Linked DNA regions of Mus musculus. The protein of the gene in region 1 binds, or shares a complex with, the protein of each later gene. Links are inferred from orthologs where the notes say so. Each region holds a gene or a part of one and is shown on either strand. Other genes may lie near its edges.

Region 1 (3,746 bases):
TTCTTGTGAGCTGCCACGTTGGTGTTAGGAACTGCTTTTCCAAAAGTAGTAAGGGCTCTCAACCACTGAACCACTTCTCCACCCCACCTCCTCAAATAGGAACTTTTTTTAAAAAAAAGATTTATTTATTTATTATATACAAGTACACTGTAGCTGTCTTCAGACACCCCAGAAGAGGGCATCAGATCTCATTACAGATGGTTGTGAGCCATGTGGTTGCTGGGATTTGAACTCAGGACTTCTGGAAGCACAGTGCTCTTAAATGCTGAGCCATCTCTCCAGCCCGAAATATGAATTTTTTTATTGACATGAAAACTATTTGTTATTGCCTTTTATTATTGTTTTTTTTTTTTTTCCGAGATAGGTTTCTCTGTGTAGCCCTGGCTGTTCTGGAACTCATTCTGTAGACCAGGCTGGCCACCAACTCAGAGATCCTACTGCCTCTGCCTCCTGAATGCTAGGATTAAATATGTTCACCACCAACTGCGAGTTTACTTTTTTTTTTTTTTTTTTTTGATTTTTCGAGACAGGGTTTGTCTATGTAGCCCTGGCTGTCCTAGAACTCACTTTGTAGACCAGGCTGGCCTCGAACTCAGAAATCCGCCTGCCTCTGCCTTCCGAGTGTTGGGATTAAAGGCGTGCGCCACCACGCCCGGCGCGAGTTTACTTTTTAATTTAAAAAAGTCTCACTTTGTAGTCCCTTTGGCCTGCCTTGGAACTCAGTGTGTGTGCAACCAGACTGGCTTCGAACTTGTGACTGTCCTCCAGCCTAAGAGCTGAGGTTACAGGTGTGTCACCTACCCAGATCACTTTTAAATTGTTCAGCACAAGGTTTGATTCGTTCCTTCTGTCCACACTGAAGGCAAAATCTCTTGGTTTTCTCCGCTTAAGTCTCTCCAGTACCTGTTATATGAGCGCATTTTAGGAGGCTGTGGAGGTCAAGTTAGCCAGCCTCAGGGAGTGCTTTGGAACTCTGGATTGTAGGATGCCTTTCCCAGGCCCTTGGTCTACTCCTGACACTGGTCCAGGGGTCGGGTGGCATGTGCTACTGAATGCCACTGGGAGGCGCTCGCTTGCCCGCTCTCGGCCATAGCTTGGGTGGAGCGTGACACCGCGCTTGGCCGCTCGGGGGAGCTTGCTCGCTTACCCAGTGGGGCCGCGGGCAGCGCCGCCCTTTACTAGGGAAGTCGCGGCCCTCCGCCACAGGCTCAGTCGCCAGGCAGTCTCGCCATGGCTTGCTACATCTACCAGCTGCCGTCCTGGGTGCTGGACGACCTGTGCCGCAATATCGACACGCTCAGTGAGTGGGACTGGATGCAGTTCGGTGAGTGACACTACTTACTCTGAGCCAGGACCCGAGATAGACAGACAGATCCACGCCCCCCCACCCCCACCCCGCCCCGTGTTACCTGAGGCCGGGGATTCCTGTGTAGAACGCTGCTGCTTTGCTTTACTTTGCAGAACGAGCTGGAGCTGCCTATGAAGTTGCTTATAGCCTAGGGTGGTCTGCTCACTATGTAGCTTCTTGGCGAGTTTTGGCTGTCTGTATGCTTGTAGAGCTGTTACCAGGGCTGTGATCTACCTTGCAGCCTGTGGTATCTGGGGCCACCCTCCTAACTTCCCTGAAACTTGCCTTAATCTATAAACTGCAGCTGACAAGGGTAGATTCTTTATACAGTTGTAAAAATAAAATAGTGTCAACCGGGCAGTGGTGGCGCACGACTTTAATCCCAGCACTTGGGAAGCAGAGACAGGTGGATTTCTGAGTTCGAGGCCAGCCTGGTCTACAGAGTGAGTTCCAGGACAGCCAGGGCTAAACAGAGAAACCCTGTCTCAAAAGACCAAAATAAATAAATAAATAAAATAAAATAAAATAAAATAGTGTCAAAGAATGTACCTTCCCTACCTTAGTGTCGTCATTCTGTGGCATATTTTCCATTCTTATTATTTTGAGACAGGGTCACCCAGTGTAGCCCTGGTACTTGCTTTGTAGATCAGGCTGGCCTGGAACTAACAGAGCTCTACCTGCCTCTCCTGCTGGAATACTGAGTTAAAGGTGTAGTCCACCATTCCTGGCTAGTCATTTATTTTTCTGCAGTGAGGGAACTTTGATCCTAGGGCCTCGTGCCTGTTAGAAAAGTCACACTACCACTGAGCCATAGTCCAGGTGACGTTCTTGGACTTTTGAGACCTGTTTTTCGTTTGTTTGTTTGTTTGTTGTTGTGTTTTTTAATGTAGCCCATGTTGCCTTGGAATTTGTCATTGTCCTGTCTCAGCCTCCTAAGTGTGGGATTATAAATTTGAATCTCTTGTATTTGTGGGGTAGGGGGTGGGGTGGGAAGGAATAAGGGGCTCATGTAGCTCAGGCTAGCCTTGGATGCCCTGGAACTTCTGACCCTCTCACTTCCATTTTGGAATACTGGGATTGCAGGCTCAGCTTATGTGGTGCTGGAGATGGAACCCAGGAAAGCACTATACACTAAGTGTGGAATAGCCCCGCTACCTTATTCCTGTAGGTCAAACGCACATAGGAACAGTGGGTAAAGGCAGTGTAACTGTTGCCACTTAATCTCCTTTTGTTTTTTCAAGACAGGGTTTCTTTGTGTAGCCCTAGCTGTCCTACTCCCTCTGTAGACCAGGCTGGCCTCAAACTCAGAGATCCACCTGCCTCGGCTTCCCAAGAGCTGGGATTAAAGGTGTGCGCCACCACTGCCTGGCAATGATTTATGTGTGTGTGTTTATGAATTTTACTTGATTATATTTTTGTCGTGCTTGGAATTGAGTCCAAGGCCTTGTGCCTGTCAGGCAAGCATTTTGCCAGTGAGCTATATAACTTCTTAAATGAAATTATGTGTGTGTGTGTTCCATTGTTGTTGTTGTTGTAATACAGGATCTCATGTAGTCCAGGCTGGCCTAGAACTCATTACCTAGCTAAGAATGACCTTGAATTTCTGGTCTTCCTAGTGACCTCTCTCGAGTTGCTGGGATTATGTGTCACCATGCCTGACTTCAGTAATATATTGTTTAATTAAGATGTTTACGATACTGGAGGCTGGCAAGATTGCTCAATGGGTGGAGGCACTGAATATCAAGCCCGTGGACCCGTGTTTTATCCCTGGAACCCTTGTAAAGCTAGAAGGGGAGAGCCCACTCCACACAGTTGCCCCGTGACCCTACCCAGGCGCACTTACTACAATGAGTATCTATTACACAGCTATACTTGATACATAAAGTGGACATGTCTTGTGTTGTCCTGCCAGTTTGGATATATATTATGCATGCGAGGAATCGGATGTTCCTCAGCGGCAAAGCACTCAATTAGCGTGTGTTCCTGGGTTCCACCCCCAGCCCTGTGAATGAAAAGAAAACAAGAAAGGAAAAATAAGTATTTTAAGGTTATGGTTCTCATTCTGGGATTTTTTTTTTTTCTGTCAGTGGCAGTTGCCAATGTCCAGAGACATCTCTAGTTGTCACACCTTGATAGATGCAGAGGCTGAACACCCAACAGGACAGCCCCTCAGCACAAAGCACAGAGCACAGCAGCCCCCAAGGCTCAGCGGGGGGGGGGGGGGGGGAGGTCAGGGAGCCTCTTTACCCAGGAAGAAAAGGAGTTGATGTGCAAAGAAAAGTACTGTAGACATCAGGAGCAGAAAGATGAGGCCCAGTTCTCCACGGGGATGAATGTTCTTGGCTTCCATGAGCCAGTTGTAACGGCCGTTGCTGTTCATGTTTGCTTGCTAGCTTCT
Region 2 (3,746 bases), on another chromosome or scaffold:
CCATTCACCACTATACAATGTATTTGTAGTCATGTGATTAGTTGCTTGTTTACCACCCTTCTCTGCCATTAGACTTTAAGCTCCGCAAGTTAAGGACCAAACTCATTTTATTCATTAATGTGACTTATACATTGTAGATACTGGTGTTGTATGGTATGGTTTGGATGTGAAACATCTCCCTAAAGCTCTTCTTTGGAAGGCTTTGTCACTATTATAGTAGTGTTGGGGGCGGAGACGGGGGAGAAGACGTCATGTTTGGATCATGAAGGCTTTCCTGTTATCTACCAATGTATTCATCCATGGATGGAGTCTTAACTTCATGGGGTATTGGGAATCAGTGGTAACTTTAGGAGGTGAGACCCACCTAGATGGAAAGGCTGATTAGGGGTATGCCTTGAAGGATGTGACCCTGTTCTCCCTCTCATCCCTTCTTCCTTCCCTCTTTCTCTCTACCCCTCTCTCCATAGCATGAGGTGAGCAGATTGGTCCCACTGTGTGCTCCCTGCCTCCTAATGCTCCCCTCAAGGCTGTACAGTTATCACCTCCTGACTTATGCTCTGGATCTCTTCTATCTGCTATGCTTTATTGTGGCTCCTGGGATAGATCATCCTTTGAGGCACCCTAAGGTCCCTTCTACATCGCTCATTTTGTCACCTTGAAGCAGTTGAATCAGTGAAACCCTAAGCACTGGAGAGCAGCCTAGATGACTTCGGGGGAAGACCATTGGGCCATCCATCAGCTTGGATGACCTCTGACCTCTGGGGGAGACCAATGGATCATCAGCTGGATGACCTCTGACCTCTTGGGGAGACCAATGGGCCATCCAGCCCAACCCTCTTTACCTTTCTAGACCTTGTTTCCAGGACTCAGAACTAAAGCAGCTGGGCTGACGCCATCTCTGTGTCCGTTAACCTCTCTGTCCCATCAGAGCTCAGAAAAACTTACACGTCAAAGCCGCTTAACACCTTTCGGGACCAGCTCAATTCCTTGGCTGCTACAGTGCTCTGAAAGACTAGACCTGACTGCTAGGGGTGACCTTTGTGCCCTCTCCTCTGTGAACAATGCTTGTGGATTGAGATGGGGCCCAAAGACACAGGGAACAGACCAAAAAAAAAAAAATGCAAAGTAAAACAAACAACAACAATAACAACAAAGTACAAAAAACAAAACAAAAAAAAAAAACAAAAAAACCCCACAAAAACAAAAAGCCCAGCAAGCTTCCTCCTATATAAGAATTTTTGGTTTCTTCCCACTCTGGCCCCTCCCCCTGGTCACTTCTTCCTTATACTTTTACGCAGTCTGAACTTCCCCCATACCCAAACAACCATGTTCTACACTAGCTGTCCCAATGCCTCTCACCCTACAGCAGCCCCGTTTGTTCCTGATGCATCTGCCAAAAGACCTTTGAGATGCCGAGAGATGTCCACAATTTCTAAACACTGACATACTTCAGTGGCCACTAAAACGCTTTGGGTATACTAAAATGTATAATGTCATCCATTCACCAAGACATGTCCTATCTGTGACAGATATTAATCCAGGTGCCTGAAAAATAAAACGTTAGGAAGAATAGGGAGAAAAGGGAGGCAAGAACACAGGGGAGTTTTATTCTAATGATGGAAGAAGGTAGCAAGCTGAGAATGCATTTGGCAGTCTGTTAAACGCTGCCTGCGGTGGTTTGAACAGGAGGGGATTCCATCGTCCCTCATTTGAGTACTTGGTTCCCAGTTGGTGACTTGTCTCAGTTAGGGTTTCCATTGCTGTGAAGAGACACCATGACCAAGGCAATTCTTATAAAGGACAGCATTCAATTGGGGCTGGCTTACAGGCTCAGCGGTTCAGTCCGTTGTTGTCTGCAGTGCAGTCAACAGAAGTCTGTGCTACTGTAGAGTGCGAATTCATCTCCTAAGTTGTTTTGTTTGTTTGTTTTTTGTTTGTTTCTGTTTGAACAGGGAACACAACAAAGACAAGACTGGGAGGCCCAAGTTTGGCCGGAGTGATCAGATCAGTCTTGAAACATGTAGGAAGCAAAAATGTTTAGCATGAAAATAGGAGAATTAAAAAAAAAAACCCTGAGCTCTTTGGCATACATCTTGAAGAATTACTCCCAGAAACGGAAAAATCGATTTTTTTTTTTTTTTAAATTTCCTGCTTTGGGGCCACTGTGTCCATTCCGAAAGCTAATGGTGCTTTCTTGCTCTCTTGGGAATGCTTTTCCTGCCCCTCTCTTGCTTCCAATCTGTCTTGCGCTTACCTCTCCCTCTACCTGTTGGACTGTCTGACTACAGCTAGCTTCCTATGCTCCCCATAGCGAGCAAGCGAGACACTCCGGCGGCAGAGCAGCGCACAGAGGCTGCGGGGCTCCCCAAGCCTCCTCTGCCCGAGTGCGCCCATTTCCTGGTTCTGGAGCGAAGCGACTGATCACCAACCCGGCCCGGGACAGAGGACAGCGGAGAGATCGTGGCTTGAGATCAGCCTTCCTCATACAACCTACTTCCTCTCGGACGTCCCTCGCTTCCTGGACAAGGCGATCGGCGTCCCGCCACGGTCCGGCGAGGACTCGGGGGTGGAGGACGCAGGACCACCAGGCGACTTCAGACTGCCTGCGATCGGGATGCTGCGGGTCACCGGGGCATCATATCCCCCTGTGGGACAGGGAGGGCAGGTCAGCTAAGGGTGAGAGTATAGGGGCGGAGCCAATCCGGAAGGCCACGCCTTTCCCTCCCCGAGCTCCACCCAGGGAAGAGCTACACCAACCGGAGCCTGTCCCTTTAAATGTCCCTGTAAGAGGCTAGGCGGCGGAAAGGCTTCTGGGCATGCGCACTGTGTCACTCGGCGGACCACTTTCTCACGGAAGCGAGGTAGAGCTCACAGAGTCTATTAGGATGCCGGGTCACCGGTGGATCCAAGACTGCTGGACCGGGGAGGGAGGCGTGGTGGCGGCGCCCAGGGAGCGGGGTGGGGTTGGGGTGGGAGTCCCTCTGCAGCCTCGGCTCGCCCCGCGGAGCGGAGGAGGAGCTCTTGCCACCCTCGCCCCCACGTGCCCTGTCTGCCCGCCTCTTGACTAGCTGCTTGACTGCCATGCCTTCGTGCTGCACTGTCCCCACGTGTAGCCTGGAAAGCCGTCCTATGGTCTTTCTTTTCCAACAATCCCTAGGGTTCCGAGGACCCCTGTGGACTTGGTCAGAGCTGACTGCTGATTTCCATCTGCCATTAGAAACAACTCCACGGGGGCAGATGCCAACCTTTGACAGGGTGTTCACTATCTTTCCTTGTCAGCATTACTTCAGCTGTATTCTCCCTATCCCCTCTGCTCTGTGTCAGGGCTTCCCCCTTCCCCCCCCCCCCCCCAGTGCCCGTCTTGATTGTACTTGCACGTGGTATTTCTACCCCGCTTCTGTCTCTTGAACTATTTCCAAAGTCAAGTAGCAGTTTATTATATACCATTCCTGATTATCATAGACAAAAGTTAACACTTCTTTCTTTCTTGTCACCATTAACGCTCTTACTGTGTTCTACTTGTATCTGTTCAACTAGTATCTACTGCAGACCTACTATGTCCTTGGTGCTGTTCTGAATATGGGCTAGTCAGAATTCTGGCTCATGTGGAACTGACACTTTAAGTTGAAGAAGATGGACAGTAAATAATGAACACATTAGCTAGTCATGCTATACAGGAAATTAAATCAGTTTTTTTCTTTGTGTGTGTGTGAAAGAAAAGAAAACAGGTTCCTAAAGCTTATAGA

The links. The genes of interacting proteins can lie anywhere in the genome.
Region 2: the proteins of Irak2 (region 1) and Irak4 are in contact, whole or in part, in a crystal structure (PDB 3MOP), measured with the Homo sapiens proteins. The link is inferred for Mus musculus from reciprocal best matches to the Homo sapiens genes IRAK2 and IRAK4. Residues at the interface, in NP_001561.3 of Homo sapiens: Tyr6, Ile36, Lys44, Met48, Glu59, Trp62, Trp63, Trp64, Gly65, Met66, Arg67, Gln68, Ala69, Gln73; in NP_001107654.1 of Homo sapiens: Asp24, Phe25, Pro28, Gln29, Lys34, Glu92, Phe93, Phe94, Ala95, Pro96, Ser98, Val105.

Annotation. Positions count from the first base shown.
Region 1 is NC_000072.6:113,637,318-113,641,063, forward strand, and holds the start of Irak2 (interleukin-1 receptor-associated kinase-like 2), read left to right. Parts: upstream 1-1,149; 5' UTR 1,150-1,230; coding exon 1,231-1,324; intron 1,325-3,746. UniProt on the Homo sapiens protein: Binds to the IL-1 type I receptor following IL-1 engagement, triggering intracellular signaling cascades leading to transcriptional up-regulation and mRNA stabilization.
Region 2 is NC_000081.6:94,542,575-94,546,320, reverse strand, and holds the start of Irak4 (interleukin-1 receptor-associated kinase 4), read right to left. Parts: upstream 2,662-3,746; 5' UTR 2,495-2,661; intron 1-2,494.